Caenorhabditis elegans: one gene and its partners. The protein of the gene in region 3 purifies or fractionates together with the protein of the main gene of each other region. This does not show direct contact. Each region holds a gene or a part of one and is shown on either strand. Other genes may lie near its edges. The genes, in order: dim-1, upb-1 and ctsa-1.1.

What was found.
Region 1: the proteins of ctsa-1.1 (region 3) and dim-1 fractionate together in Caenorhabditis elegans (co-fractionation; one large-scale study listed by BioGRID). This does not show direct contact.
Region 2: the proteins of ctsa-1.1 (region 3) and upb-1 fractionate together in Caenorhabditis elegans (co-fractionation; one large-scale study listed by BioGRID). This does not show direct contact.

The regions. Positions count from the first base shown.
Region 1 is NC_003284.9:8,052,266-8,063,579, reverse strand, and holds the start of dim-1 (Disorganized muscle protein 1), read left to right. Parts: upstream 1-5,359; 5' UTR 5,360-5,367; coding exon 5,368-5,412; intron 5,413-5,695; coding exon 5,696-5,753; intron 5,754-5,800; coding exon 5,801-5,878; intron 5,879-5,949; coding exon 5,950-6,003; intron 6,004-6,050; coding exon 6,051-6,586; intron 6,587-7,213; coding exon 7,214-7,388; intron 7,389-8,871; exon of another isoform or gene 8,872-9,007; intron 9,008-10,080; exon of another isoform or gene 10,081-10,426; intron 10,427-10,490; exon of another isoform or gene 10,491-10,674; intron 10,675-10,899; coding exon 10,900-11,030; intron 11,031-11,129; coding exon 11,130-11,213; intron 11,214-11,314. Other genes in the region: C18A11.3 (DUF4309 domain-containing protein), read right to left, coding at 42-176, 585-727, 2,225-2,310, 2,358-2,449.
Region 2 is NC_003280.10:6,285,635-6,296,084, reverse strand, and holds upb-1 (Beta-ureidopropionase), read left to right. Parts: upstream 1-5,987; 5' UTR 5,988-5,993; coding exon 5,994-6,103; intron 6,104-6,148; coding exon 6,149-6,257; intron 6,258-6,471; coding exon 6,472-7,049; intron 7,050-7,093; coding exon 7,094-7,286; intron 7,287-7,400; coding exon 7,401-7,574; 3' UTR 7,575-7,673; downstream 7,674-10,450. Other genes in the region: mps-1 (MiRP K channel accessory Subunit), read left to right, coding at 1,934-2,013, 2,114-2,261, 2,464-2,553, 2,601-2,707, 2,818-2,967, 3,235-3,433; nyn-3 (RNase NYN domain-containing protein), read left to right, coding at 3,561-3,573, 3,627-3,738, 4,117-4,177, 4,224-4,295, 4,351-4,412, 4,464-4,574, 4,670-4,788, 4,847-5,061 and 1 more; F13H8.6 (DUF4238 domain-containing protein), read left to right, coding at 9,216-9,397, 10,148-10,211, 10,345-10,450.
Region 3 is NC_003280.10:4,732,595-4,743,444, forward strand, and holds ctsa-1.1 (Serine carboxypeptidase ctsa-1.1), read left to right. Parts: upstream 1-5,053; 5' UTR 5,054-5,055; coding exon 5,056-5,201; intron 5,202-5,468; coding exon 5,469-6,255; intron 6,256-6,589; coding exon 6,590-6,729; intron 6,730-6,781; coding exon 6,782-7,118; 3' UTR 7,119-7,208; downstream 7,209-10,850. Other genes in the region: F41C3.7 (WD_REPEATS_REGION domain-containing protein), read left to right, coding at 2,591-2,668, 2,717-2,800, 2,849-3,009, 3,060-3,201, 3,246-3,346, 3,397-3,522, 3,568-3,640, 4,016-4,090; F41C3.11 (Nucleotide-diphospho-sugar transferase domain-containing protein), read right to left, coding at 1-104, 300-431, 492-565, 614-749, 1,205-1,330; eas-1 (putative Golgi transport protein 1), read left to right, coding at 7,853-7,883, 7,931-8,022, 8,068-8,170, 8,219-8,294, 8,447-8,528, 8,576-8,617; acs-11 (fatty Acid CoA Synthetase family), read left to right, coding at 9,545-9,655, 9,710-9,808, 9,865-10,116, 10,597-10,850.

The DNA of each region.
Region 1 (11,314 bases), on a different chromosome or scaffold from region 3:
AACAAAAAATAAACATTTGGTCAAATGACAACTTTTGTTACCGCTGGGTTTGCAGAAGTATCGTACCAGTAGGCATGATGCTCAAAAGCATAAATTGTTACCGTAGGAGTGATTTGATGTGCTAGTGTTTTATTAGTGTCGCTTTGAAACCAGAATGATTGGTATTCTTCTTGTTTCTAGAAAATGTCTAGAAGTGTATTTATTGGAGTAAACATTGCAATGTTGGATGGTTACCATACTTTTAGAAATAAAACGTTAAAATGGACTTGATGTTTACTGTTTCCAGCAAAGCTTTGAATCTATTTTAGGACTAATAGAAATATTGAATACAAGGTTTTCAAGAATTAAAAAACACTTTGCTGATAGTTTCTGTAAAGCATGCAAATGTTTCTAGATTTTTATAGTGAACAGAAAAATTCAAATTAAACTTTATATTTTGTGAGGTAAGTTAGATTAGTAGTATGATTTTTTAAAAAACATCGCCAAGTGTATTGAAAATGCCCGATGAAATAGTTTGCGAAAACATTCTGATCAAACTTTCTTCACAAAACATTTACTGAAAAAGCATCTTGTAATCTACTCACTGGTTCTTCATCGCTCGATCCTTCCGGAAGTCGGTATGTCGTGATATAGAGCCCTTCTTTCTGGGAATACTGGTCGATGAAAATGGAAAAATTTTTGGATGCATCGCGATGATGAATATCAGGAGTACCTGTTCCAGTTTCCCCTTAAACAAAAATAAGTTTTTTTTACAGATCGATAATCTATACAAATTTGTTTTCACTTCATAAGGCCCGCAATTGGGAAATTATTTTTGACATCGTTTCTGACCGGAATAATGTGTTTTTACAGTAATAAAGGGGTTTTTTAATTAGAGTAGCGACAGTGGGGATTTTGTTTAAACACCCTTATAATGATCCAAAACAAACGAATATCATACCAAAACACTTTAAAACATTTTAGATTTTTCATGATTTCCGGTCAAAGTTTTGTCAAACTGTTCCGACTCCTACAACCTCATAAACCAACAAATCTCGTTCATTCAAATTTCTATATTATTTATCCTCTTCTGTCAAATATATATCACTTCACTTAAGATGGATTCTGACGGGTCTTTCATACTTTATGTGTTATTCGATTCTCCCCGATGCTTTTTTTTATGTACAGTGCGCGCGCTTGCTACATTTTTTATACTATGCTTAATTATTGTTTATTCGAAACTGGATAAATTTTAACGAAATGTAATACAGTGCGTGCGCTTGCTATAGGAACCCTCTAAATTTTTTAAGTATTGAAAAACTTCGAATTTTTCGTGAAAATCTATTATGATATTTGGAATCAGGGTGTCAAAAAACCTACAGTCCCATGTTTTCATGAATTTATCATTAAAATTGAAAGCGCCTGGCCAAAATTTGAAAAATAAGTTTCCGCGAAATAAGGCAAATTAATAAGGAAAATAAGTAAAAATAAGGCAGGTGATAAAAGTTGAAACACAAAAGTTTCTCATGAGCTTCTTCTCGGGCTTAAACGTCTGAAAATGAGAAAAATAGTAAAAATCAAAATTTGAATTTTTCCGAAAAGTTATAAATCGGAACTATTTTTCATTAAAAGTGTAATTAAACGTAGTTTTAGAAATGATTTTTTTTACAAACTCAAAAAATCGAGAATTTTGATGAAAATTTTCAAAAATCTCCGTGGGTCCTATAGCAAACGCGCGGCCTTATTTTTCAAATATTAGCCAGGCGCTTTCAATTTTAATGATAAATTCATGAAAACATGGGACTATAGATTTTTTGATACCCTGATTCCAAATATCATAATAGATTTTCACGAAAAATTCGAAGTTTTTCAATACTTCAAAAATTTAGGGGGTCCTACAGCAAGCGCGCGAACTGTATTACATTTGGTTAAAATTTATCCAGTTTCGAATAAACAATAATTAAGCATAGTATAAAAAATGTAGAAAAAAAGTTTTTTTGATCGACTTCCAAAATTATGAGTGGCAAAAACAATTGTCACTTTTTGACCGTAAATAAAAAAGTTTCAAAACAGTTTTGAAAAGTTTTATAATGATATTCGGTAACTTTTTGACCATAGGAGTTGTTTTTAACAATTTTCCCACTGGCGCTTTTTTAAGCAGTGTTATTCCAAGTAGCAATAATCTTTCAAAATACTTTTTTCTAAATTTACTGACTGGAGATACCAGTGAAAGCCACTAACTAACCCTGTACAAAAGACCAAATCACAGCTCCAGCTACACATCCAATTAAAACCAAAGAAATAGCAAGACGAATACCGAAACTTCGAAGGCTAAAATAAAAATCTACAATTTTCAAACAATTTTTTAAACAACTTACTTCTTGCCAAAATCTGCGCCTTCTACTAACTCGATATCGTCATCGTCTTCGAACTCGTCCGCAAATCTTGGTAGTGAGCCGCTTTTGCTCATCTGCAAACAAAAATAATAACTAAACTATATAATTTAAATTCATATTTTGTGTAAACCGGAAAAAGGAAAGGTTTTATCACACTGAAAATGGCAATAATTGCTCCACACGATACGTGGAGGGTAATAAATGTTAAAGATTTATCAGTGGCGGTTTCGTATGCAATGTGTAACTTTTGGAATGAAAGTCATAAATTTCAAGATTCAAGAGAGAGCTGGTATAAAATTTTTTAATACAACAGGAACAATCCGTATCATTTGTGTTTGTTGATGTTATTAAACAAAGTTCCGCATTATTATGGCAAAAATTGATAAAAAATGTTTGTGCACATCAACATTAAAAAAGGTTACTAATGTTTCCACATGAAGAGTCTCTGGAAAAATGAACAAGTTGTAATTTCACCGTAAAAGTAGTTCTGGAAGAACATGTTTGAAGAAAACCAAAAATTGACAATACCAAATAACATTCTATGTATGCAGGGTTGTCTGAAATAATTATTTTATATTAATTTCAAAGGAACACTATATGATAATATCTGGAATAGGGGAAGCAATTAACATAGTCATAATAAAACATAGTTAAACAATTCCTACAAATTTAATAGTCTAATTATGTTTAAAATACTCATATTCAAACATTACAGTGATTTGAGCATTCTGCAGTGCTATAATTTTGTTTTCAATAAGCTGCAAAAATGCAGTAATTGCAACATTTGATTGTCAACAAAAAACTATTCAAAACTTTCAAATAAGTGTTACTATGATATTTAATCATTTTTGCACCATAAAAATGTTTTTTTAAGCAATTTACCCTATGGCGCTACTCCACTATTAAAATCAGTTGGTGTTTCTGGATGAATGTATTTATAACTTTTATCGGCTGCTTTTTCCGATTATGTCTTCGGCTGCACTCAGTTTGTTATTACGAGCCATCTGTGCTCAAGGTCGATAAGGTCAACTTTCTCGAAAATACGTTTCCCCTGTCCTCATTGACATCTTTCCCCCTCTCGTGTCTCCTACTTTTCACCCTTTCACCAAATATCGATCAAGTCGATTTTCAACGGGTTCTCCAGGCAGGTGGCTAGTACGTACAGTTTAGAATTGAATAGTGATGTCGTTTCGTCTCGTAGTGTTGAACTCTGGCGTTGTCTAATTCTCTTCTCCGCAACGCATCTCTAGCTTGCACGGCGACGGTCACCCACGATGCTGGGTCGCAAAAGACCTCTGGTCACCCTTCCCGTTACCGCCGATGGTGATCTAATAGTTATCGAAAAAATGAAAGTATTGGATTTTTAGGTATTGTTGCTAGCACAACTGTATTTGTCGATATTGTTGTTTTTTAATTCTCAATTGGGAGCAACAAAATTTTTTACAAAGTATACTCATGTTTCAATATCGGTTCTTGAGTGATTGGTGATAATTAAATCTCATTTAGAAATTCTGATTGAATTTTTTTCCGGTATGTGATTTTTTATTAATATCCTGAAAAATCGGCGAACTTATGTTCAAATAATATAGTTTTTAGTTTAATGTCCCGGCATACTTGTTTGTTAGTTTACGTTTACCATCCAACCTTTAAGCACCTTTTCTAAGGTTTTTCTTACCCGGCGATGGTCACCCACGATGCCGGTCACCAAAGATGCCAGGTAGCAAAGGATCCCTAGTCACCCTTCCCGTTACCGTCGACGGTAATCTCATAGTTATCGAAAAATGAAAGTATTGGATGTTTTGCATGCTGGCTACCCAACTGTACTTGTCGATATATTCTAAAAGTTGTTTTCTCATTGTAATTTGAATGCAACCGATTTTATTACGACCGATTCCAATCCTTTAAATTTTTTTGAAAACTTTTAATGTCTTGTTTTATTAGAATTAGTATTTTTATTTCATTTCAAAATAAAAGCTGTTGAACATTTTTCAACATCACTATCTAATTTTCAAATTACAAGGACCGGCAAGTAAGTTAAATTTTTTTCAAATTTTGGTTAATAGCTAAGTAGCATTAAAAGTTTTAAATCGAAAATGTTTTCAGTTGTTGATAATGTTTGATTTATCTGAAAACTTTACTTTAATGCACAGAAGTAGTGTTCCCATTTGCGAATTCAAATACTCCAAGTAGTTCGAATGTTATAGCTTATTTGTTTATCAGTTTATGTTTAATCCCAATTCATCAAACACATTTTTGTGCGTTTTTTTTTACACGGCGACGGTCGCCCACGATGTCGGTCATCCTCGATGCCGGTCACCCACAATTCCAGGTTGCAAAAGACCCCTAGTCACCCTTCCCGTTACCGCCGACAATGATCTCATAGTTATCGAAAAGAAAGAAAATATCGGATTTTAGGCCTAACACCACATGTGTACACGCCGATATCATTTAGTTTTTTTGTGGTCAGTTTTATCACGAAGGTGCTTCAAAAATTGATCAATTCATAATTATGATAACCTTCAATTTATGACTTTTATGAAATTAGTTGGTTTTGATTACAGAGATGAGAAAATGGTTTTTCAATGAAAGTTCTCACTTAACAATATACATTCTAAAACTATGCCAATTGTTCAAACCAAAACAAAATTGCAAGTCAGTTAAACTTGACTTTAATTATTGACAACAATTAGGTAGATTTCAAAAAGCCAAATCAAATTATTGTTTCATTATTTCAATGGTTAAAAAAACTCGCCTTAAAAGTTTTGTTTTGTCTGAAAACCACAAAGTCATCTGTTCCCGTTTACCTACAATACTTACTTACTTACTAAACTTTTCATTCACTTTTTGTTTATTTAACTTTTTGTGTATCAGTTTTTGTTTACTTTCCGTCCATCAAGCTTTTTTTTCCTCACTCATCCTTTATTTCAATTCTCGTCCTTTTTTCTATAATTAACAACACAAATCTTAATTTTTTCAGTTTAACTCCATAAGAATGGCATCGTTAGCACCATTCTTTAAAATTTCCGACTCCATCTTGGTAAGTGTCAAAACTTTTGTAAAATTTCAACGTTTCGATGCAATATTTGCTATTCTAATAACTTGGTGTTTTCACTTAACACAAGTCTTTACACTTTTAATAAGAACCGATAATCACAGTGAGATGTGCAGTGTTACCACTTATTGAGTAGTATCCTTGTGCAAACACCCCCACGACATATTGCGTACATTCCCGATTCAGAAATTTCTGGCTTATAAGGAAGCAATAACTCTAATTAATTTTAAAAAAAAAGAATAAAACGCTAAATATTATATATACTCAGGCTGATGAAAGTTTCGACGATCTGGAAATCAATAATCATTTTAAATGCACTAGCAAAGGTAAGTAAAGTGTTTTTGTCAATTATCTTATAATTTTTCAACTTCAGATCTAAATGAATACCCAAGAACTTCAACCCCATTGCCTGGAGAGATAACATCAATTTACAGCTTACCCAGATCATATAGTAGGTGTTAATGGATACGATTTGTATTTTTTTAAAGACAAAATTCAAATATGATAAAATTAACTTTTCAGATAATCAAAACCTTTGTACAAGAAGTAAACCAACAACATTCATTTCACAAAATCGTATGTTCGATTACGTTAAAAAATGTTTCTATTATTCATTTTTTCAGAACAAAAAGGAATGACGGAAAAACCGAAGCATTCTGAATATTTTTTAAGACTGATGAAAACACGCCAAGAAATGCAGAAAAAATTAACTGCGAAAAATGGTTCAAACAAAAGTGTGCAGCAATATTTGAGAAAGTTACCGCCCAGTACGAGCAAAGAAGTGACGATAATACCAGTGAAAATGAAACCTGATGACAATTCAGTTTATATTTCTAAAGAATTAAGTGACAGGACTGACACAAAACTACCGAAAGTTTCAACAAAAGAGGTAGAAAAATTTGGAGAGCAGTCAGATGATGAAGAGAGGCATGAGAGGTCTCATATCGCATCGGATTTTAATCAGAAGACCCCGCAATCAACGCATGCAACGAGTAACCATAGGAAGAGAATTTTCATAGGGAGGACAGGTGCTAAGCAACAGCATGTTAGTAAAAAAGCCACAGAGAGTGAATTACCTTATAATATCGACGTGTCAACCTCCAACACGACAAATGCAACCGAGGCTCTCAAACTGTTAAAAAGGCCACTTCTGTTACCAGTGAGTTTTAAAACTTACAAATTTAACTAACAGTTAGTTTAGTGACATAAAAATTAATAAAAGTTAGTGAAAAAGTAAAACATGACCGACTTTCTATGAATTTCAAACATAATATTTCCAACTAAAACCAAGAAGAACCAATAAACTGTAAAATAAAATAAAATGTAAAGTTTTTACTAAACATAACGATTTAACAAAAAAATAAAAATAAAACTTCAGTTGTTATATGTTTTCAAGATAATTTTTGAAAGAGTTCTTATTGTTGGAAAATTATTAGTAACTTTCCTTATAGAGAACATTTCATATTTAAAAACCAATAAAACATTCAAATCGTCACTGAAACATAAATTGGCAAAAAAGTAGGCAATTTCTATTTGAATTAACACCCATCAGCCAGTTTTTTTTTCAAATTTTTTCACCGTGTTTTACACAGCTTTGCATGAAATTTTTAAAGCTAAAATGTATAATCTTGTATTTTCTCAACAGTTTCTCTTAAACAGATCATGTTTCATATCAAAGTTTTACACAGCAAAAACTGCAAAAAATGAAAACATGAAAACGTACAAAAGTGTTCAAAACTATTCCAAAATATTAATTTCCCAAAAAATAATGGCTTGTAATTTTCAGAGTAAGGATCCACGATCGTCAAAAATGCCCCGTTTAGATCTCAATCAACATCAATTCCGCTGCAAACAGTACATAGTCCATTCACAATTTACATGTACTCAAATTGAGAAAACATTTAAGTGCAGAGTTGGAACATCGACAGAGAGTGAAGACCTTGATGATTACTATTTTGATGGTGAGTACTTATTTGTTCTTGTGTCAGTTATCAATAAGCGAAGAAATAAACAAAAACAGTATTGGAAATTAAATCGAATGGTCTGCACACTGTGTCAACCACAGCGCCTCCATGATCTTAGAAACAAACAAATGAGCAAGAGATTACCGTGCGCTCTTTTCCCGACAAACATAGAAATATAGTACTTGATAGAAAAGAAATAGGGAAAAGAGGAGGGCAAAAAGCAACAAGTTGTGAAGAATAGTCAACAATATTGGTCGGGAGGGAGGTTTCTGCTTGTACGTATATATTTATTGAAGTGACGCCGACTGACGACGCAGGATTTGCTTTCATACAATTTTTTTTGGGGGGAAACACGATAAAAATGTCCCGTCGTTTTTATGCATCAATGCATCATTCTTCGGAAGTTACTATTATACATACAATCACTTTCTTAGGGTTTTTTTCTTTATTTTCCAGTGAATGCTCAAATTGTATATTTTCTAGTATGATTTTAATAGAAGAAAGTTTTCATTGAAAATAAGACAAATAGATAGGTCAAATAATATATAATAAATTGAGTGGTATAGCATTCTATTTTTTCGAATCAAAAACTCAAATCTTAAACGAATAATTTTTTCCATCCAAACTGAGCTACGATTTTGACACTTTCTGAATATTTTCAAAAATTTACAAGCCTAGTCGTATATTTTGAAATTAAATAATTAAACCTTGAGAGGTTGGCAATTTTAACATTTCCGAATTTTGACATTGCCGAACATCTCTGCAATGAATGTTTGGGGGTTCTATGTATTCTTGTCGTAACTATTTGTTTTCTTTGCACTCGTTCGCTTTGACCAGACCACTTTTCTTTTATGCTATGAACTCATTACGCAGAGATCTCGCACAACAATTTGTTACTTGCACTGTTCATCTTGTCCTTTTTACTCTTTTTTCCTTCCGTTTACTTTTTCATATTGCACACAATGAGACTGTGCTGATGGCTGCTTCAAAATTTCTGGGACTGTGCTTCACATTCTTGTGTACTCTTTCGCTCACCACCAGTTTTTTGCACTGTTCTCTAGAGTGAAAAAGGAAAATTGAACAGTTACATTGTGTTCGGTTTCAGTCAATTTTTTTGTTGTACAATTAGCGTCGCTAGAAAAAGTGTTTTTTTTGCTACTCTACTGTTCTTGTCTCATGCTATTTTGTAGAGTTTAAATTTATTTTTAAAAAATGAATGTCAATTAAAATGTGAGAACTGGTAGAATCAAATATATACGTTTCATTTCTCGCGTAAAAAATTAAGAAAGTAGTCTTCTAACCTTCCATCTAGGCTATAAATCTCATTTATCTCTAGTTCCACTTGGCCACCAACTCCTCCGCAAGCAAATGATGATGATAGGGACCATTCGTAAAAGCCGCAGAAGCCCGAACAGTCAACTCGAACAGTTGTGGGGTCTTAGCGTGTGTGTTAGCAGGGAAATTTCTTTTTCCAAAGCGTATGAGGAGGTCCCGCTCGGTCGGTTAAATGAGCAAATATCTTCGCGACATATGCCAACGCGATTCGTATTACGTTTATCTGCTCGTCTAACACGAAGGCGAAATTGATGAAACGTGGGTGGGAAATGGAAACTAAGGAGAACTTCGGGGGGACGTGTGAAGCCGATAATGATGAGATCATACACTATTTGTCGTCTGCATATTGATCTATGTAGGACATGTACTCAACGATTTTATCTATTTCTCGGAACTTTTTTTTTTTAATTTTGAAGTGTTTTTGCGAAATTGTTTGTCTCTGCCGATTATTTTGAGAACAAATCGGCGTAGTTGTAAGAAAGATATAAATCAACCTGGTAAGAATTCTACCAATAACTAAAACTATTTAACTTCATCATGTACATTTCATTTGCCAAACAAAATTCTTTAAGCTATTTGCTCAATTTTCTTTTTTCATATCCCGCTTTTTATGATATCATCAATGTTCATTCAAAAAAAATCACACAACCACTCAAAAATACAAAAGGCTGTCTCAAGTATACACATACTTCTGCAGCTTTTCCTTTCCTCTAGGAGTATTTTTTGTGATATGATCACATTGAGTTTAGATCGGATTCGAGAATGATATTGAATGAATCGTGGCGCCAGGTAACTGAAATTTTATTTGTCAATGAGAAAGCGAGAGTTCCTTTTCTTCCACTATCCACCTACTCTATGGGGGTGCGAGCCTTTGTTTGTCAACTTGAGCTATTAAAAAAAGATACTGTTGAGATAAGTGCCGATTTCGATTTTCAATGCACTGCGGCTCTATCATATCTGCCTCCCCTACTAAACCCGCGCTCATTTTTTGTTTGAAAAATCAAAATCGCACGTTTCTTCATTCCGTCATAGTCATAGATTTCTGATAGGTTCCACGAGATGCGTTGGATCAGCCATGCAAGTCGTTGAGATTGCATGAGTTTCAGTTTCACGGGATGAACATATGTTCCCCGATCATGATGTGTGTGTTTTACATTTTTAGATGATTTATTGGGAAATTAGTTTTGTGCAATAGGTTTTCTGTCGTTTTTAGCTGTTATGGTTTATGTATATGTATATTCTTATTGGGTGGTATTTGAGAAGCTTGCCAAATTCATAAATCTCTTATCAAATCTATTAACATCTATCCAATGTACCCCGAACTAACTAGTTACTTTTTATTCTTTCTTCTGTGGGACCTTTTTCTGTGAGATATTTGTGTTCTTTCACTATCAGTGGTCGGCTGGCTAGCTGTCCTCCCACGCAGTAAACTTTACGGATCGATAGGTGATCAGGCAGCAGAAGCAACAGTGGTCCTGCCGAAACTTTCGAGAAAGACACAGAGCCAAGGCATGTTGATAATCATTGATAGTGATAGGTTCGACTCTGTCTCTCTGTTTTCTCTGGTCCATCAATCTGAGCCGTCATATCTACTTGCTCTGGACTCCCGCGGGGGCGCGCTCCTGCTCCGAGACCTTCTTTCTCTCCTTTATCCTCTCGCCTCTAGTACACAGCACGGTAGGAAGAGAGAAGCGGGAGGGAGGGCGCCGATTTTTGTGTAACGCTCCGAAGCGCGCCTCTTGTCACACTGTGATTAGAGTTGGCAATGCAGCCTCGGCAACGGCGGCGGAGTCCCGCTAGTACAGAGACTTGGGATGCTCCCGTGGATGTGCCTGCCCTCTCCGACTCTCACCGCATACCCACTTGGCATCCTTGTCCATCTCCTATCACTTAACATTTTGTTCTTGGCCTTGACCAGTCCAACTTTTTTTACGCAGGGGAACTCTGTGTCTATTTTAAGACATATATTTATGTGCTCGTGTGTTTTTACAATTCCTCTTTCTAAGACTTCTTGTGTTACTGTGTTACAATGCTTATAACAAAAACTAGACGGAACGAAAACAATAAAATGAAACACTGGAAGAAATGTTCGCCATTCCTTTCTCTCTTTGCTTTTTCGATTTTTGTTTTTCTTTGTGCTCAGTCGATCACAATACAGTTTTCCCATTTTCAGCCATGCCAGACGGAAAGGCCCCACACTTCCCACAACAACCAGTGGCTCGCCAAAACGACGATGGCTCATTGGAGCTCGAATGTTTCGTTGATGCCAACCCAACCCCACAAGTGAAGTGGTATTACGATAACGTGAGTGACGCTAGCATCCTACAATATTAAGATATTTTGCTTATGAAACATTTGTTTGCTCACTGACTCAACATTATCCAATTTGATTCATTTTTACAGAAGGAGGTCGAAAACTCTGGACGCTTCAGTGCCAACCTTGCCAACAAGGGAAGCGACAGCTACTCAGCCATCCTCACAATCAAGGTAAGCCCCATTTTTTGCATCTCTCTTTGTCTTAGTTCCGAAACGACGAACTTCGCGGGGGACATCCTAACCCCTCATCCAAAATGCCATCTGCTCAAATC
Region 2 (10,450 bases), 1.6 Mb from region 3:
TTATTTTTTTTTTCGAAATAAATATGAATGCACCGTCTGTTTTTAACAATTTCTACCATATTCAATCTGCTACAAATACTCTCTATGTCTGTTTCAACGTCATCTGACTTTGCTTTGCTTTTTGGTCGTTCATAACAGTTGTTGAGAGTGTGAGTGTAAGAAGCGATGACCCAAACAGTTTCTCAATAATTTTCCATCTATCCAACAGGGATTCAACACGTTAACCTGAAACATTGTATTCATTTTAAATCGGGCATTGGTCTAGTTTGAATTTGAAGTGTTAAACATCAACTTTGAACAGTTAGATAGTGACTCTAGAGCAACGAGCGCCCGATACGAAACATTATCAAAGAAACGTATATTTCAGAACTAGAAACATAGCAAATTCATGCTTTACCAACTGCTTAATTCGCTTTCCTTCCTTTCAATTTTTCGCACATTCGCGTGCCTGTCAACTGCCTGATAGGCTTTCTGCCTTCTTTCTATAACCCCCATCATGCCACACACGCATTTTGTGTGGCATGATGGGGGCTATAGAAAGATCCGAAAAAAATGTCCAAAAACTACACAAACACCGCGGTTGAGATCACTTTTTTTCGCTTCCAATTGGGTTACAGTGAATTCTGTGGAATATATCAAGATATTGAAAACCAAATTGCCATTTTAAGTTTTAAAAATTTAAAATGGATACATTGTCAACTTAAGCATAAAGGATCGTTGGCTGGCAAGGAAGAAAAATCACAAAATTTGGGGGAGCTTACTTTTTTGACTTTATAAATTTTCACCAAATGTCACTTCCGTCACCGGTAACCAATCACAAAAAAATTTTCATGAAATGTTTTTTAGAAACAAGGATACTTTTATTATATAATAATGAAAATAAATCATTGGATAAATCTCATTTAAAAATCTCAATTAAGCTAAATTGAGCCTACTTGCGCGCCACGGTCGACTGGGTTTTTGAGTTTCTTGAGGTCTGTGCGGCTGTAGGTAAATGTTAAGTTTTATATGTCATTATGTTCGATTTTTTCTATTCAATAAAATGTATATATTAACTTGTTTTGATCGCTGTCCAAGAAAAAGTTACAGTTCCGTAAAGTGGTCGCCATAATTATGGACCACCCAGTAGTTATCTGAATCAGTTGATTAGTTTCCCTTCTTTTCGAAACTTTGATAATTTCTGGTAGAGCAGAGTCAACCAAATGAACATCATATAAATACAAATATTTATTCAGTTGATAGTTTTTTGGTGTATCATTTCACTAAAAAGAGCTATGACTTGATGGGTGATTACATATGAATATATGTAAGAACAAATAGTAGAACAGTGTAGGTAATGGTTTCGAGTTTGATGTTTTTTCGTTATTCTCCAAATCAGGAAAGTGTGAATAAAGTCATTACTGGTTTGAACTGGTCTTGAACTCTTTAAGTGGCTCTTGAAGTGGATCTCGGTTCAAATTTTGACTTTGTCACACACTAGTGAAAAGTACATTAGTAAATGAGTCTCTCAGTAAAAGCCAACTTTTGGCAATTTCCGATGGCGACAGTTTTTATTTTGGTATACATCAAACACAAACACTTTAATCCCTTCTTTCTCCATACTCTATACTTCCATTCAATGTCCTCTCCGATGATAATAAAAAACATGTGAGTATGTCTGCGTCTCTTCCAGAATCTGCGCACACAAATATGTGCTGCTATGGAAATGCATGAAAATCAAGGGAGGAAAGCAGTCTTCGAGAGCAGTGGCGCCAGGGCTCGTTTGTGCACCACGTCGTCTTCTTCTCATCGATTAGTGTGTGACACCTACTACAACTCATCATATTTCTGAAAGTTCATTTGACCTAATCATTTGTTTCACTTTCTGTCTGATCGTTTTAATTGATTAGTTTTTGGCGTTATTAACTCTGACTGACAGTACTCTAATCTTTCCATGCACAAAAATATCAGTCCCACGTGCCAAGAAGGCATTCGAGAAGCATGCATCACTTTGAAAAATGCTTGTGATCCCCAGTGAGTTTTGATATTTTGTGACAATTAATCGGGGAAAAAAGACAAACAAAAAGTCAAACTTTGGTATGAAAATCTCTTAATGAAAAGTGGCAATTTTCAGAGTACTTGACAAGGCTGCAATCCGAATGAGAGAGTACGAAAATGAGTTCGGTCGAATACTTTATACAATATCAATTTTAATAATGTTCTCATTTGTCATTATTCTCCTAATGGTACGATCAATTCGGAGAACACAATCAACAGTTGAGGTACGTTTGGAATTTCACAGTAGACAATCGAACTGTATGAAATTGTATGAAATTAGAGAGGACCGTAGGTTTTTGTATGTTGTTTGAAAACAAAAACCCGGTCAAATCAGAAGTTTTGTTACAAAATTTTAATAAATGTAGAAATTTTGAAAAAATGCTAATAACTTCAGTATTAAGCTACATGAAGTTCTCTATATTTCAGATGGATTCGCTCCTTGATGCTATGCGAATTCGAGAAGAATTAGAAATACAGGAACGTAAAAGAAGACGATTGATGAGAGCAAAAACCCAGGTATATTTATGAAAATACATCGAAAAAAAATTAATTCAAAGTTGTAGGTGACTGCATGGCTCGTGAACAAAAACAAAGAGAAAGGACCAGAAAAGCGAAAAGATAGCGAATGGAAGCCACTTCCAAATGGAACAAGACCAAGAGGACATTACAGGTAATTAGCAGAATTTTTTAGAGAAGTTATAATCAGGGAAACTAAAGAATTAACAGAAATGGTTTTCTATTTGCTTTTATATAACCTTTAATGAATAATTATAATTACAGCATATCAACAGTCACATCAGACATTCCGGAGATTGTAGTAAGTGCTGACGACTGCATACATTCTGATTTTCCAAATCGTCCACATACTCCTGCAATCTCAATGATTTACGATTTTGGAATTGCGTCACCGGATTTAATAGAGCCCGATAGGTGAGAAAAGATGAAAACAGATTAGTAGCCAAATATGAGACACTACTAAAAAATGGCTTTTTGGTGGTTTTTATAATATTCTAGCGGTGAAACGTTTATGAAAAATGTCGAAAGTCTTATTTATAAATGCAAAATAACAACACAATCGTATTGAATTTGACCACACCGGCGTTCTAATAGATGAAACTTAAAAATGAAACATTTCATACAATAACAAAACATATTTCAGCAAATTCAAACGAAACCTCAAAGAATAATATATTTCAGCCGTAAGCCATCAATTTCCTCTTCAACAGCAATTCCCATGTCATCTTCGTCATCTTCATCAATGAATTCATTGATTGAACCAAATATGAATTCAATAAAATCAAATCCTCGAACATATTCGCTTGACACAAACGCCTCCACGTCATCGAGAACTCCTCGTGTTGATTGTGACGATAAATCATTTAGCTTAGACGTGTAATTTTGTTCTCATTTTTATATGCATTACTTATTTATCTTCACCATCTTCATTATTTTGTCCTGTGATCGTCAAATCGATTCGATTTTCAATCAACTTGTCGTATATTTACACTGCTTATGTACATTGGATGATGACTAACAGTAATTCTTTTTTTCTGGTTAAAATTGAAAAAAAGAGAAATGAAGTATTTTAGAAACCGATAAAGAAAATGCTTATTTCAAACCACCGACTCAAGAGGCAATATCGAGACCGCTTGTCATTGATGGATGCAACATTGGAAGAAGTGCCTCTGGATATGCTAGAACGTGGGTTGTCCAGAATATTTTCTCAATTCAATGCTTCCAATCATTACAAACTTCTGATATTGTTGAAAATTGCTTGTTTTCAGTCCACTCATTAAAATTTCGATGATTTTGAGCAAGCTCTTTTGAGCAAGCAATCTTAATGCCCCACCTTGGTTTTTGACGCCAACTTATGTCATAAGTTTGATCTAAAAACAGCAGTTTGGTTCAGAAATTGGCAAATATTTATGCAAATTGTGCCAGAAATGAATAAAAGCATGCCCTTGGTAGATGTCTGGTAGATGGTAGAGATTCCGTGGACACGTGGGAAATTAAGTCGTGGCTCTGTTCTTTTAATGAATTACAAAAAATAATACGCACAAATTTCTGTATTTTTTTCAGTCACGTGGATTGTGCTGGCCTCGTCTCCGTTGTCCGATGGCTTCTTATTCGTAGATTTGACGTAATAATTTTTTAGTTTTCTTTAATTTCCCAATTACAAATTTCAGGTGACTGTTTTCCTGCCTGTTGTTTACAACAATGTTAATAATTATAACTCGAAAAATGCGGAACTACTTGCAGTAAGATAATCTTTGTTCTCTAGGCTTTTTGGATTCTGATTTTTGATTTTCTCAGAAATTGGAGCAACTTGGTATTGTGACATTCACGCCGGCTAGAAGTGGTCGGGGACTACGAAAGTGAGTCAGAGTCGGAATGAAGTCAATGTGGGCAAGTCACGTGTTTTTCAGGGCGTTTATCAATTATGATGATTTGTATGTGGTTTCGTATGCAGCCAGACATGGAGGTACAATTGTCAGTGGAGACAAGTTCAAAGATATTCTCAATCAACCGTGTTACAGGTAACATTCCTATCATATTGTAAACTAGACTAGGACTTTTTCGGCTTTTTTAAAGCTATGCATTAAATTCAAATTTAATATTACACTGGTTTTAGTGACTTCCACCACGTCATCAGAAACCGAACAGTCGATGTAAAATTCCGACCGCTAACACTCGATTTCGTCGAATATCAATCAGATCGGTTTTATCGACATGCTCCCGAACTATTCACATGTAAGAAATTATTTCTATTTTTATAATCGAACATCATCTAGAATCTTGTTATTTTCAGATGAAAACACTAGTCAACGAACCGAATCTTTGCGTCAACGACTATTTGCGTTGCCTCATGAACCGGACTATAATCTTGTGAAAAATTCGAAACGACAAGTGACTGATGAGAGGAGAGCTTACTTGTGTGCTGAACTTGAAGCTATTCTCATTTCAATGAGTTATGCAGCCGGGAAAATGTTTCGAGATGTTGCAGAATTGCCATGTATTGATAATGTATGTGTACTTGTCCAATTGCCAAAAAATAAGGAAATATTTCAGTGTTTTCATGGATTAAGAGTGGAAGATGTTGCTCCGAAGAAATTTGCGGATGCATTCTACAGAAAATATCCGAAACGAGAAGGAAGATGTGATTTACTTCAAGAATGGGTTATGGAGCCTGTTGTAGAAGTTTCTGAGAAACAAACAAATAGCAATGAACTAAGTGATGATGTTCTTGTTCCAACTCCATTGCCTCTCCCGGAAAAGTCTAGTCAATCTGTCGTGAATGTTAATAAAGGAAAAATCGAACTTCCAAGAGATCATTCCCTTGGGTCGTTGCTTCAATGGTTCACACTGGCTGAAGAAGCAAATAAAATCAAGAAATAATAATCGAAATATTGATTTTTGATTGAGATCTGTTTCATTTTTACAAACAATTCGATAAACGTTTCGATTTTTTGCATGTTTTCTTTTTTCTATCTCTCGATTGATATCTTTGAATGACCTGACGGGTGCACGTGTTGAGACAGCTGTCGTTCTGAGAGGACAGGAGACTTTAAACTATTCAGTTAGGATCTCTTTAACATCAGATACTTTTGCTTTTTTGCTCTTTCTTGTTTTCTCGAAGATTCGCAGAAGAATCAAATTTGCTGGTCTGATACATCTTATCATTTCGGTCTTGATAAGAAGTTGAAAAAAAATTTGGTGTTCGCCGAAAAAAAGTTTCTCTTTTTCCTTGATTAAATTCTATTTTCCAATTGATAACACCACTTTCTCTTTAAATGGCATTCAAGTTCCGATAAATTTAAGGTCAAATACTGCCCAATAAATAGTGTTCATTCAATTTTAATGTGAATTCATTTTCTTATCTTGTCTTATCGCAATTTGTCCATTTTCACTAGAAACATCATATCTTTATATATTTATTTTATCTTATTCAGGTAAAAATGTCTGCAGCTCCGGCTCAATTCGATGGCGTTGAAACTGCTTTGGCTGAAAAATTGGACGGAGTTTCTTTAGATGAAGTCGAAAGAATTCTTTATGGTAGACCATACAGGTTTGTTTAAAATATAATGAAAATTCGCAAATACTTTATTTTCAGAGCACTGGAAATTTCTTCTATTGCGGAAAAACTAGCACAAGATGGTGATTTCCAACTGTCTGGATACATTGTGGACGCTCAAAAAGAACAAACAAGAGCTCCAAGACTGGTGAGCAGAAATTATAAAATTAAATTGTTTTAAATAACTTTTCTGATAACCAATTTTGTAGAAAGGAAGAATATTGTTATGGGAGATGTTCTGTCTGTTTCTCGTATTTAGCTTTTCATTCTTAATCTTTGAGCACTGCAAATATTAGGTGGAAAAAGAGAAAAAGAGAGTCCCAGTTTGTTATATATATTTGAAAATATTACCATTTTTTAAGGTTCGCGTTGCCGCTATTCAAAACAAAATCCACCGTCCAACTACAGACAGTGTCGTTGAACAACGTGATGCAATTCATCAACGTGTCGGAGCAATGATTGAAGCTGCTGCTTCCGCTGGAGCTAATGTTATTGGACTTCAAGAAGCTTGGACAATGCCATTTGCATTCTGTACTCGTGAACGTCTTCCATGGACAGAATTCGCAGAATCTGTATACACTGGACCAACTACACAATTCCTTTCTAAATTGGCCGTGAAACATGATATTGTGATTATTTCTCCAATTTTGGAAAGAGACGAAGAAAAGGATGATGTTATTTGGAATACAGCTGTTGTGATTTCTCATACTGGACGGGTTATCGGAAGATCTAGAAAGAATCATATTCCAAGAGTTGGAGATTTTAATGAATCTACATACTATATGGAGTCCACACTTGGTCATCCAGTTTTTGAAACCAAATACGGTCGTATCGGAATCAATATTTGTTACGGACGCCATCATCCACAAAATTGGATGATGTACGCTCTTAACGGTGCAGAGATCATCTTCAATCCATCAGCAACAGTTGGTGCTCTCAGGTTTGTTGATTCAATATTGAAACATTAAAAACATGGAAATTTAGTGAACCACTCTGGGGTATCGAAGCACGAAATGCTGCCATTGCCAATCACGTCTTCACAGTTGGAATTAACCGCGTGGGCACTGAAGTCTTCCCAAATGAATTTACCAGTGGAAATGGGCAACCAGCGCACAAAGACTTCGGTCACTTTTATGGATCCAGTTATATTGCTGCTCCTGATGGTAGCCGTACTCCAGTGAGTTTATTGAGGTTAAACTTCAACAATGAGTAACTGCTCAAAAATTTTTATAACTGTTTCTCTCTTTTAAAAAAAAATAGCTTGAACAAATCTGATACATATTTTTTTCAGGCATTATCTCGTGTTCGTGAGGGAGTTCTCATTGCTGAACTCGACTTAAATCTGTGTCGTCAATGCAAGGATGCTTGGGGATTCAGAATGACAAACCGTCTCGACATGTACGCTCAAAAGATTACGGAAGTTTCCAACCCGGACTATCGTCCAGACATCAGAAGAGAGCAATGAATCAGTTTTGTTGTTGACATTTCAATTTATGGATGATTTTTCTTTGTTTTCTATCACCTGATTATTATTTGAATCGTAAATAAATGTAATTCAATTTAGCTCATGATTTGAACTAATGAGGTGAATAGTAGTAGATCAGAAGAGGGAGATGACTCAACTTGTTGTACTTGATAAACTTTAAAAGAAGCAATCATGTGGAAGACTGAAGCTTTATAAACTTACTTACTAGTTAGGTGATATATACTTCAGCTCTTTTGCTTTTTAAAAGAAGTTTTCTTTAGATATTTGATAAGATATTTATTCTAGTGATAATATTTTTGCTGTCGTTACTGAGGCAACATATAGAGAAACTAGGCACCAATATTATAATCACTAGTTTCTGATAACCGCCCATCTCATGTTATTTTCCCTTCTTCTTGAGAATTTTTCCTAGTTCGCAGTAAACCAAAATTATTTTGGAATTTTCGTACTACTTTTGAATAACTATTAGATACTACTTTAAAGGTTTTGTTTTGTATTTTGAGATTTTGTATGCGGTATTGTTAATTTTTGTCCCATACCAGACTACTCTGATTGCCGTTCATCCAAGAAAAATGCGTTTATCTACAATTTTTAAGTAAAATATCAATTATTATAAGATGACTGTTTTTCATGAAAATTGAGAGAAACTCAGCAAGCGGAACGGCTTGACCAATTAAAAATACGATTTTTTATAATGAAGATGTTCGTAAGATTTTAGTGTTTAAAAACATCTATGTTCACTCTGTCTTTATTGGGAAGTGGAGTAATCCACGACTGGATTACCGGTTACAGTCCCAGGCTAGAGCATGACTTGAATTATAGCCCAGTGAGGTACCACCAGGCAATGTACCTGACTCCCAGATCCGCAGTCTATAGAACGGATCGTCCCTTTTTTAAGGTCGCCCTGTCAAATCTAAGGAAGTAGACATATTTGTTCACAATGAGCAACAGTTAAAATGAAATAAAAATTTGGATTTTGAAATGTTGTGTGACTAACTCACTCATAAACTAAATTTAACTATTATGGAAATGAAGAATATTTAGTACTTTTGTTTTGTTCAACAGATTTTTTTTCCATAATTCCATAATTCAGAAATTCATTTTTCTTTTAGCGATTTCAAATCTTTCAATTTACAGTTGTAGATTAGGCTACTTTTTATTTCCGACTTTATTGTATTCATTTTGTATTCAATCGAGGTGTCTAGAATTATGGTTTCATTGAACCCAATTTTTTTTTGTTTTTTCCGTTTTGTATAGTATCAGACACTACTATTTTCATGGTGCTGTGGCAGATCCCCAGTGTAAATTTCCATCTGATTACTACAACTTGTATTGTTTGATGTTTTCAGTTGTTTCACAAATCATTCATATTCATATCTTTACAATTAAGAAGTTCTTAAACTCATATCTTTACAATTAAGAAGTTCTTAAACACATTTTTGATATCTCTGGTGGCTCGAGGCAACTTGGCTCCTCCTTCCTACTTTTTGTGCATTATTCTTCTTTTTTCTCGAATTCTCATTCAAATTACCAGTTTGCCTTACTTTATATATGCTCTGCACAGAGCTCCCTTTCTTAAATTCTTTTTCTTCATATTTATAACTTGCTTAAATTCAAATAATGGACAGCATATCTCGTCGTGCAAGATTTCGTTTTGGCAAGATGCTCAATTCTGCTGCTGCTGTTATCAATCAATCAACACTTCGTCGTCGATCTCATTTTGCCCGTTCTGCTACAACCAACAGCTATGGACCGATTCCTATTGACGGTGATAGTTCTATTCCGCTTATGTATTCTTCTCAGTAAGTTTTAAGAAATTTTTCATGATAGTTTGGTGTTTTTTTTTCAAATTTATAAACTTTAAATAATCAAAAACAAACGTATTGCTCAGCGTTTAGAAAGAATATATATAACTTCAAAAGCCTGTAGTCGTGTTGTAGAAATAATTTTTCACCGTTAGACTTCTGTTTAATTAATTTTCAAAAAACTAAAGCACATCTAATCAACACTCTAAAGTTATTTGAGTTTTGTTCAAAATGTGTTTCAACCACACGACATTCATTTTCATGTAAAACCCTGTTTCAATAGGTTTTAAAAATTTCAATTCAATCTAAAAAGTTATTTGCATGAATAGTCTTGAAAATTATAACTTAAGTTTTTTTCAATTTCCATGCTTTTTCTGTGAGTCTCTTGTGTGCGTTTTTTATAGGAAAAGTTCCCATGGAAAGTGTTTAGCAACGGGGGAAAATGTACATGCCAACACACTTTGAAACATATTCTTCACTCGATTTGTTTCTACTAAAACATTCTACGTATCTCGTTTTTTTTCATATTGTCCAATATATAATTTAAGTTTTTCTAATAATAAAACTCTCATCTAATGATTACTTCCCGTAATTATAGATATAGAGGCACAGTAATTTTTTGCATAAATTATGGCAGTGTTTAAAAATAAATGTGAAGTTCAAAAGTTGAAAATTGTGACGAATAAATTTTTAAACGCGTCCCATAAATATGATAAAAACGCCAGTACTCATTGAAAATAATTTCAGAACAAATTCAACAGGCTCAAACAATTCAATCGTCTCTATTCCAGGCCTCGGGAACGTTTCAAATGTAGGTAATTTAATCTTTGGCTATAACTGGTACAACATTATGAAAAAATAAAAATGCAGTAAGAGAAAAAAAATGACAGCGGTTTTTTTAAAACTGCTTATGAAGTTATTAAAATGCGTTGAGAAATTTGCAGCTGATCCAAGTCAGATCCCTCGAACAATCAATGGAAAACGATTTAAACGCGATAACTTTGAGTGAGATTAATGGAAAAGGAGAAATTGTTCCTTATATCAAACCAG
Region 3 (10,850 bases):
TCAATGTTTAAAGATACGCATTTTATAGTTTCGTCCCATTGCGATTTTATAGCAGCACACGTTGATGAGTCCATACTGACAATAAGGGTCCGATTGTGAACATTCTGAAGTTTTTTTTAATTTCAGAAAGATTTAAACAGGCTCATAAAAATGTCAAATTATTCAAGGGACCTAAAATCCCAACAGTATTAACCAAATTTTGTATTAACCGGGAATCCAGTATTAACCGAATTTTGGGTCAGAAAATTTTGAATAAGCTTTCCAGCCATCTCCAATTTGAAATTCAGTCTAATACTCACATCCATCAAAGCCGTGTTACAAATCCAATTAAGTGTCATTCTCTCGTAGGCATTGTTTATCATTGCAAAATATATAAAGTTGGAATTTTCAGATGTCTTGTTGAGAATACTATTTCCTTCCGAGACAAGAGTCTGAAAAATTTTTTAAATGAAAAATAGCAAAATTAGTTTAAGGATTTTCCATTAACCAACCTCTTTTACATTCTCTGAAATCACTGGAACTCCCACGTCCTTTCGCCGAAGAACTGGATGAACCTGCTTTGGTTCTGGAATTTATTTTATTTTAATTTTGAAAAATGCCAATACTAGCAAACTTTTCTTCTTATTTCTGAGTGGTCCACCTCCACCAAATCCGATTGCTGACAATTTTCCATAACCTATTGCTTCGATCACATTTCCTTTTCTTACGTGCATCCCTGACTTTGAGAGAAGTGGTCCATCTCTTAGGTTCTGGAAATTGAAACTTATAAAGTTGAGGAAAAATATTGTGAAATTTAAATTGTCTCAAAATGACAGTTTGCCCAATATGATTGTAAAACAATTTTATACAATTTTTCAAAATTTTTATAATATTTTTTTTTTTCAACTTTAAAAAACTCGCAAGGACCGAATGACCATTTTTCTTTACGGAAAAGCGCCTGAAAATCAAAAAGAAAACGTTTTAAAAAACCAAAAAACTAGATCATTCATTCGTGGGAAAATCGAAAATAATTCGGCTATTTGAATTTTTATAATTTAAAAAAATCAATTAAAAAATTCTGAAAAAAAATTTACAAACTTTTTAGCATCTATGTACATATATTTGGTATATTTAGTCTGTATTTTTTATCACTTTTAAACTTTAAATAAAATTTCTAACACATTTACTTCTAAACTTTAAAAAAATCCCAAAAACCATTGCTCACCTCATACCCAATCCTCGTACTATCCACTTGAAAAAGTTTCCAAGTTGTGATGCCAATGTGTAGGAAAAAATAGACAAAAAATAATGGAACGAGAACATTTCGAAACGCCAATTTCAGACGACCCATTGCATTTTGTGAAGTTCGGGAGTCTGTAAAAATTAAAATTGAATGGAAGAAACAATAAAAAGATATGGAAAAATAGAGAAAAGTGGAATGGGAGAATAAGAAAAAATAGTGACCGCAGGGGGAGACAGGAGGGCGAAAGCAAATAATTTTGACACATTAAAAGAAAAGAAAGATTTTCACAAACCGTATCATTCTTAGACTAGTGTCGATTAAATTTATTGTTAGGTTATTTAATATTTCCTCTACTAGTAAAGCTTATTACTTTCAGGCAAATATTCTGATGAAACAGAGGAAATACAGTTAACTCTCGATGTGGGCATAATGCCTCAGGAAGCAAACATTTGTTTCGGCAACTTAGTTGTTCTACATCTAATATGCAAATCTGTTTAAATGTAGAAAAATATTTTACACGTATTTTGTCAGTTGACAATTTTTTGATAAACCTAAACAGAATCGAGATGTAGGCTCTCAAAGTAGAGCAAGGGTGCAAGTCTGATAGATAAATTACGGGTACTAAAAGAGCCTATCTAAAACTAAAACCCACATTTAAGGCAAAAATTGACTATATAAAAACTTTGATATATAAGTGTTAGGTCTGTCCTTCTTCCTAACTAAAAATATTCAATGCCTACTATCCGAACATGGTCAACCGTTGAAGGGAATTGTAGAGAATGTGTATAGAAAACGAGAGATGCGCAGTGTAATTCTCTCTTTCTAAGTTTCGTTTCCCGTCGGAATTCCCGTCGAGATTCAGAATCAGAATACGAAGAAGGCTAGACGCAGACTATGTGTGTTCCATTCACTTTTCAATCATTGCTTCTTTTTCTCTGATTCTCTTGTAACAATAATTTAGCACACCCGTGAAATCGGATCCATGTGAAAAAGGATGTATAGGTTAAGGATTCTGTATAAGGAAATTGTATCTGATTTATTGAATGAAAAATTGGAAAGTGTTGTAGAATTCCATGCGTCTTCCTTATTCCGTGGATTCTCTCACAAACGTCTCTGAGAAGTGAGAAATTTTTCAATTGCTTTGAATAAAATTAAAATTATTTTCAAATAAAGCAAATATTTTACCATATTTTATCACCAAGTTCGAATAAAAAATATCGGGAGAACATGCAACACTGACGCATTTTGCAGATTCATTACAGACTCTAACTTTAAGATTTGATTTTTTAAATATAAATGGACATCCTCATAGTGTATTCACAATAACTTTTTATTAGCAAAATTTTCCAAAACACCCCAAATTTCCAGAATATCTTCGTTCTTCTACTTTTCTTACCTCAAGAAAACCGATACTTTGTTGAACTGAGATCTTTGAAAAATCTCCTCGTAAGTTACAAAAAATTTATCAAATTTATCAAATTAACTTTATTTCAGAAAAGTATCTTACATAATATCGAAAATGATTATTTTCTTGCGCATCAAAAAGTTCGCCTATATTCGAGCCATAATTTTGTGATGGTGTGCAAGTATCTATACTTCTAAAGATTATCAGTACACATTTTCCAGCTCTACTCCTCATCGAAAATATTGATGATGGAAATTGATGATTTGGAGAAAATGATAACCTATGATGACGTGGCAGATGTCGTCTCATTACTTGTTTTAAATGGAAGTCCGTGTTATATGAATGGATCCGGAAAAGTTACTATTTTGGAGAATCAGGAAAAGTTGGTTTTTAATAGGGAAACAGAGATATATTGTAAAAATGTATATTCAGAATTTTCGAGTGCTCTCCACTACTGAATCCAATCTCTTCTAGCTTCGTAATTGAAAATCGAATTTATGTGCTATCGAACAAGTTTATCTCTAGCTTCACATCAGATTCTCCACTGGATTACGAGAACTATGAGACAGAAAAAGTCATTTTGGCAATTCTAGCGGAAATTAGCAATTATATTTTCAGACTATCACAACTGGAGATATTGGAAAATTTGGAGAAGATCGGCTCATGATTTTTGATAAGTTTTCTCAAACTTGTTTTGTCTGGGAAAAAGATAAACCAAAGTATGCAATTTAATTGAGCTTCAATTTTTAAAGAAACAGTTTTTTTTCAGAAATCCATCTCATCAACTTTGCTTTGGATCGTCTGAATATACAGTAGACGTGGCTTGCGACGAGGAGAATTTGTACTCCTTAACTTCTGCCGGCGTAGTTTCAGTTTGGAAATTGAAACCTAATGGGTATGCAGTTGCAGTCTTTGTTTACACGGTACTAAAATTTTTTAGAAGAAAATATCGAGATCAACTATTCACAACATACCTGAACCATTGCACAAAACTACTTTTAACATATTCTCAGGTATGAAACAAAGAAAATAATAAGCATATAACATGATTTCTGGGTATACAAAACACACGTTAAATGGAAGATCAGATTTTGAATATAAAAATTGGTTTTTAAAATCTGCCAAACACGGTCCCAGATTCTAAAAACATTTATCTTTCATTTAACGTTTGTTTTGTCTTACAAAAAATTGGCCAATTAATCTCTTTCTATATCAATTGAACAAATAAGGGAAATTCAATCCATGACGAGAGTCACTCAGAAAACAGCCTGTGCCTTTGAACTGACGCCCCAATTTTTTTAAAACGAAATCAGGATCCACAACTCTAAACGTTTTTTTTCATGGTTTCTGGCCACCTGGCGATCACCTAAAATGTTTTCTTTTTTCAGAAGTTTGTGATTCTCACCAACTCGGAAGTTCACTTTGTGGTGTTTGGCATTGACTCGACCAGTGGCCAACAGTGATCGGTGCCAGCCTCTACCGATCCTCATTCAATTGACCCCAATCCATCACTCGCCTGCTTAAAAACCCGCCGTTGCTCACAAATATTTTCTCTTATCTTCATTTCTTTGCAAAAATGATTGTCTCGTTTTCTTCTCCACAATCTTTTTGATATAAATTGATTTATTGAATGTTGATCGCGTTGCGTGTTGTAATATTGGCTCCTTCAGCATGGCGTGAGAGAAATAAAGAATTTAAATCAGAAAAGATAAAAAAGTTTCTGGAAGAAATGTTCTATTGAACAGGTAAAAATGAGACAACCAAAATTGACTGCGCCGCAAAATTTTTTGAAAGAGTTTCGTTAATAAAAAATCGGAAAATCTGGAAATATTTCGTTTCTTGTTCTGACTTTGGCAAGTTGGCAAAAATAGAAATTTCAGAGGCCAGAGCAATAACGTTTTTTGAGAATTTTTCATAAGGTCTCATTACGACATTCGATAGTTTTGAGCCATTTCAAGTCTAAAAATGTGTCAGATTTCCGTACTCCACCTGTTGCCTACCTGCCTTAAAGCGGACTCTAACTAACTAGTACCTGCTTCCAATAGGAAAGCTAAGAAAGACCTTTAAACTTGCCCACATTTAGTACTCTACGACTACAAAAAATAGACAATTTAAATTTCCTGAAGCTGGTTCTCCCCTGCCTCACAGAAATTTATAGAGTACACGATGGCACTAGTCGTTTGATCTCTATCTTATCAAAATCAAATCTTTTTTTTTTCAAATTCAAATCTTGTGCACAACCATCTCCCCAATCTTCACAGATCCACATTGTCCTCAAATTGTCCTTTGCCTTCTTCTGGCTCCGCCCCTATGGGACAGTCGAGACTCCGCCTCCTTCTCTCCAATGTCTCAGACAAACATCACAAGATATCTGTTTTTCTTTCTTGTCATGTTCCATGCTCAACCTCTAATTCATTGAATTTCAGGTATGAAAACCCTTCTGCTTCTCGCCTTCTTCGTCGGGGTGACCTGTGGAGAAGAGATCAAGGATTTGCCAGGATTGGACTTTGAGCCGAATTTCAAGCATTATTCCGGATTCTTCCAAGTTTCGGATAACCATGTGCTTCATTATTGGTGAGTATGAAGGACAGAAGTTAGCCTAAAAAGTGCAAACTAGCATGAAAGTAAAAAAAGTCTTGTACCTTTTCAATTTTTCGTCGATCGAAAGGTTGTTTGAAACAGTGTTCAAGGTGTGAAATAGGTTCAGAAGCTTACACAACGAAAATCTTACACAACAAATCTTACACGAAAATCTTACAACTTACACAACGAAAATCTTTTGAATGCGAGCTTGCCTTCATACCGGCTTGTCTAATAAATCATCCTAAATCATTATTCCAGGTTCGTCGAATCCCAAAACGAGCCATCCAACGACCCACTGATCTTCTGGTTCAACGGAGGACCAGGATGCTCTTCCTTGGACGGACTTCTCAATGAAATGGGACCATATGTTGCCAATGAAGATGGAAAGACTCTTCGTGAAAACGAGTACTCATGGAACAAAATGGCTTCAGTTGTCTATATTGAGTCTCCAGCTGGAGTTGGTTACTCGTATGCCACTGATGGAAACATCACAACCAACGATGATTTGACTTCTCTTGAGAACTACGAAGCTGTCAAACAATTCTTCACTGAATTCCCACAATTCCGTCATCATCAGACATTCATTATGGGAGAGTCTTATGGAGGAGTTTATGTTCCAACTCTTACCGCAAGAATTGTTGATGGACAAAAGGACTTCCCAATTAACTTGAAAGGAATGGCACTTGGAAATGGATATGTTAATGAGAAGCTTAACATTGATACCTCTGTCAGATTTGCTTATGGACACGGACTTATTGATGAGAAGATCTGGAATACTCTTGAGAGAGATTGCTGCAGAGGATGCATTGATTCATGTGATTTGACTCAAGTCACCGGACACTGTGCAACTCTCGTTGAGGACATCTTCCAATTCTTGTGGTTCGGAGGATTGAATCCATATGATTTGTACAGAGATTGTGATCCAAATCCATCAGTGAACAGCAAGAGAATGAAGCACATGTTGAGAGGAGTTGCTCCAGCAATGGCCCATTTTGATGAGCTCTTGAAAAATCAAACAAAGACTTCCCTTTATCAATTTTTGAAAGTATGTGGGGTAGCAGCAATGGGAAAATGTAAAAATATCATTGGAAAACTTTTCAGAAAATTTTTCAGTACTCAGTTTTCACCTAGTGTCACGGTAGGTGTCACGGTCATGAGATCATTATCAGCAGTTTTTTTTTTTGAAAACTTTGAAAATTGTTTTGTGAACGAAACCCTGCAAGGATTATATTCAAACAATTTTTTTGCCATCCAAGTAAAAAAAATTAAAATAGGAAAAAGGTTATAGAATTTTTTTTGGTCAAATTGCATATTTAAAACTTTTTTAATTTGATCAATAATTACCACCATAGCAGTCACTTCATATTTGTATCTTTCAGAACAAATCTCAATCCCAAAAGCCACTTAAGGCTGATGTTCCATGCCTCAACGATACTGAGATGCTCTCCTATATGAACAATCCAAAGGTTCGTAAGGCAATCCACATTCCATTCAATCTTGGAAAATGGGATATCTGCAGGTGAGCCTGAGCCAAAGAGCCCAAGCCCAGAGATCAAAACAAAAATTTTCAGTGACAAGGTGACTACTACCTACCAGAAGCAGTACACCGATATGACTCCATTCATCAAGAAGATCGTCAAGAACCACGTCAGAGTTCTTTTGTACTATGGAGATACTGATATGGCCTGCAACTTTATGATGGGACAGCAATTCTCTGATCAACTTGGACTTCGTAGAACACTTAAAAAGACTCCATGGAAGTATGATAGACAAATCGCCGGATTCAAGACACTTTTCGATGGGCTCAGTTTCATCACTATTCGCGGAGCTGGACATATGGCTCCACAATGGAGAGCTCCACAAATGTACTACGCCGTTCAACAGTTCCTGAATAATCATCCACTTTAAATTTGGAGAACAAATAATATTTTTATCTTCTTATTTATTTTTCAATCTATTGGTCAATTTTCCAAGTTTTGAATAATGAAATTTGATTTTTAAATTTTGTGATTTTCGAATACACTGAAATATTTTTCAGAAAGCTTCCAAATAACTGTAATCGGTTTACTCATATGACGTTTGGATTAAAATTTCAAGTAATTTCGATTAATAAAACTGATGTTCTACTTATTAATACGTTGTACCTTTGGAAATAGTCAATAAATAATTGGAAAGTCTTGTTTGTTCGAAAAAATATCGATTTGAAATCTCAAAAATGCCTTTTGTGGCACTTCCAACCAACATAGTTACTTTTTGTCCAATTTCTCAATAAAAATCGTATTAATTGAGCGAAAATACTACGAATTCAAAAGTTTACCATTCAAATTTAAATTTTCCTTTTTCCCGCCGATTTTCGCTACTTCGGCCATGTGCGAGTTTCTAGGCCACGCGGAAATGCACGGCGGCCACGTGGTCCGCAATTTTACGTACACGTCATTTCCGCGGAATTTCCAGTTTTATTTTCCGATTTTTCGCTTAAATTTTTCAATTCGAGATAAAATCAGTTTCATTTGCTAAAAAGAAACGCAAATTTATTTCAAAAAATCAATAATCTTCTTCTATTTGTTTTTCTATGACCGATTCTTTTGAGAATTTAATTTTTTTCAGCCGTTTAAAAGAGAAACCACTTGGGTCCAGTCAAAATGATGAATTTCGAAGTAAGCACAACAAAACGTAAGTTTGAAAATCAGAAAATATATGTAAACTGTGAAACATTTCAGAAATCGGAGTGGGGTTAACGACGTTCGGCTTCTTTTTCATATTTCTCGGAGTGCTGATGTTCCTTGATTCTGCTCTTTTAGCTATCGGAAATGTAAGTATTTATTGTAAATTTAAAGCATAAAATTATTATTTTCAGCTTCTATTCATTGTTGGAATCACATTTATTATCGGCGTGCAGCGAACACTTGTTTTCTTCTTCGAATTCCGAAAACTGAAAGGAAGCATTCTCTTCTTCGGAGGTTCGATCACAAGGAATTCATTATTTTAATTTAAAAATTTATTTTCAGGGATTTTGGTAGTTCTATTTGGGTACCCATTGTTCGGAATGATTGCCGAGTGTTGGGGATTTATTGTCCTTTTCGGGTGAGTTTTTGACTAAAAAATGTTGAGTTTTCTAAATATTTGCAATAGAATCAATATCTTGAATTTTCTGCTCTTTTTCTTCGATTTGTAACAAACATTTTGAACTAATCGCTCACGAAATTAAATTTAATCTAATAATAATGAATTTACAGTGGTTTCCTGCCTGGAATTGTCAATTTGCTCAGAAGTATCCCCGGAATCTCAACAATCACATATCTTCCTGGAATCCGACAGGTCAGTTCTAACGAATCAGGATTTTTATCAATTATTTCAAGTTTTAGGTCCTCGATCGCCTTGCTCCAGAATCCAAGTACCCCGTCTGAAAAGTTCAGGATCTTCCCAAAAATCTCACCAAAAATGGGTTCTATTTTCTTTTTTGTTGAAAATATTTTCTCCTGTGTTGTCCCTTCTCCTCTCATATCACGTTCGGTTCAACTACGATTTCGGCCAAAATGCACATTTTCTGTGTAATATTATTCAATTTTAATTTATTTATTATTAAAAATTTTAAATTTTATCTCATTTCTAAAATATCCCTCAGCCTTTGTTGTATAATACGCTTTCATTTTCTTCTGTTCCTAGGTGAAAAATGTGATTATAATTATTTATTAGATTCCCTTTTTTCCTTTTCTTGTGTTCTGACTCGATATCCATTACATGACTCATTTCGATCAAAAAAAATGATGTTCTATGCTTGTTCTTCAGATCAAACAAATCACGTTTTCACCACCAAAGAACTCATTTCGACGAAGGTTTCTTCTCCCTTCAACCTCTTATCTTTGTTGCCATTTTTAAGAATGACAAATCGAGAATACGAGACGCAGGGCCAACAACATCTCGTTATAAGAAACGGTCAACCCGATCAATTCACGATTTTAATTCAGTTTTCTACAGCTTCCTGTTTTCAAGCACTGCAGATTTGAAACAAAAACCTTGTTTTAAACTTAGAATCTACCTGAAAAGTCCGATAAAAACTGAAAAAGTTCTTACTCGTAGAAAAAATTATTTTTAAAAGAAAAAAAATGCAGAAATTGATGAAATAAGGTTAAAAACCAAATCAAGCATTTTTGAACATCATTTTGAAATAAAAAATTGAAAATTTACGGTATTGTGCATATTTTGTGCAATTAGAATGCGAAAACTTTGAAAAAAAACTTCCAAAGTTGAATTTTAAATAGAAGTTGCCTAATTTTCTTGAATTTTTCATTTTAAAGCATTGTTTCTATTACAGAAAATTAGATATTTCAGAAATGCTCAGTCGTCTAGTCAGCTCCGTCCATCCACAAATTGGGCTCCGTGCCGCTTCTTCTGCAGCCAACAATATTGTCAGTCAAGCTCAGCTTCAATCCGATCCTTCGAAGGTTGCTATTCAATATCCTTCTGAACGTTTTTTCCATAATTTTATAATTTTCCAGCTCCTCTTTATCGATGGCGATCGCAAAACGACTTATGGAGAATTTGTTAAACGAACTGGGCAATATGCAACTGCTCTGACTGAAAAGTACAATATAAAGGTCATTTTATCTTTAAAATTGTATAAATTCAACTTTTCAAATTCAAATTTTCTCAGAAAGGAGACCGTGTGATGGCTAGAGTATCAAAAACGACCGATACAGCTGCTCTCTACATTGCTTGTCTTCAAATCGGAGCACTCTATATTCCAGTCAATCCAGGATATACTGAATCTGAAGCTGCTCACTATATCAAGGATGCGACACCTTCGATTCTAGTCTCGTGCAATGAAGAATTGGATAAAGTTTTCAGAGATAAGATCAGGGTTATCAACGAGGATAAGTTGGCATCTGAAGCAGGAAGCTTGAATGTAAGCTGGAAAATATGAAAAATTTAATAATTTTCAAAAAAAAATTCAAAATTGAAAAAACCACAAATTCCTTGTGATGCTAATCAAGAAATATAGAAAAAAATATTAATTTTACTTTACAAATTCGTGAAAACTTGAGCCTCCAGTTTAAAGGGACACGATCTTCTTCTGCTTGGGTCTCGTCACGATCTCAGCCACCGTGCAGTATCTATTCTGAACGTTTTTAGAAAAAAAAATTAAAAACCAAAATTTTGACAAGAATATTAGGAAAATAGGAAAAGTGTTTGGAGTACAAAAGTGACTACTTTTTTTTGGATTTTTCGGTATCGAAATACCGATCAAACCAAAAAACGCCGTGATCGTGCCGAGACCCACCCGGAAAATATCGTGTGCCTTTAAACTGACATGTCAAAATTAAGTCAAAAGAAAACACAATATACATACTATCCATGCCCAATATTCAAATGCAACATTTTCCAGGCATGCACCATGATCGAACATGTCGAAAAATCGGATCCCGCATCAGTTTGCTACACTTCAGGAACCACCGGACTACCAAAAGGAGCAATCTTAACTCATGGATCATTGTCTAACAACGCACATGATATTGTCCGAGACTGGGGATTTACTGGAAATGATTATAATCTACATGCACTTCCATTCTATCATGTACATGGACTCTATTATTCCCTTCATTGCTCTTTATTCTCACATTCAACAATGATTTGGCGGTC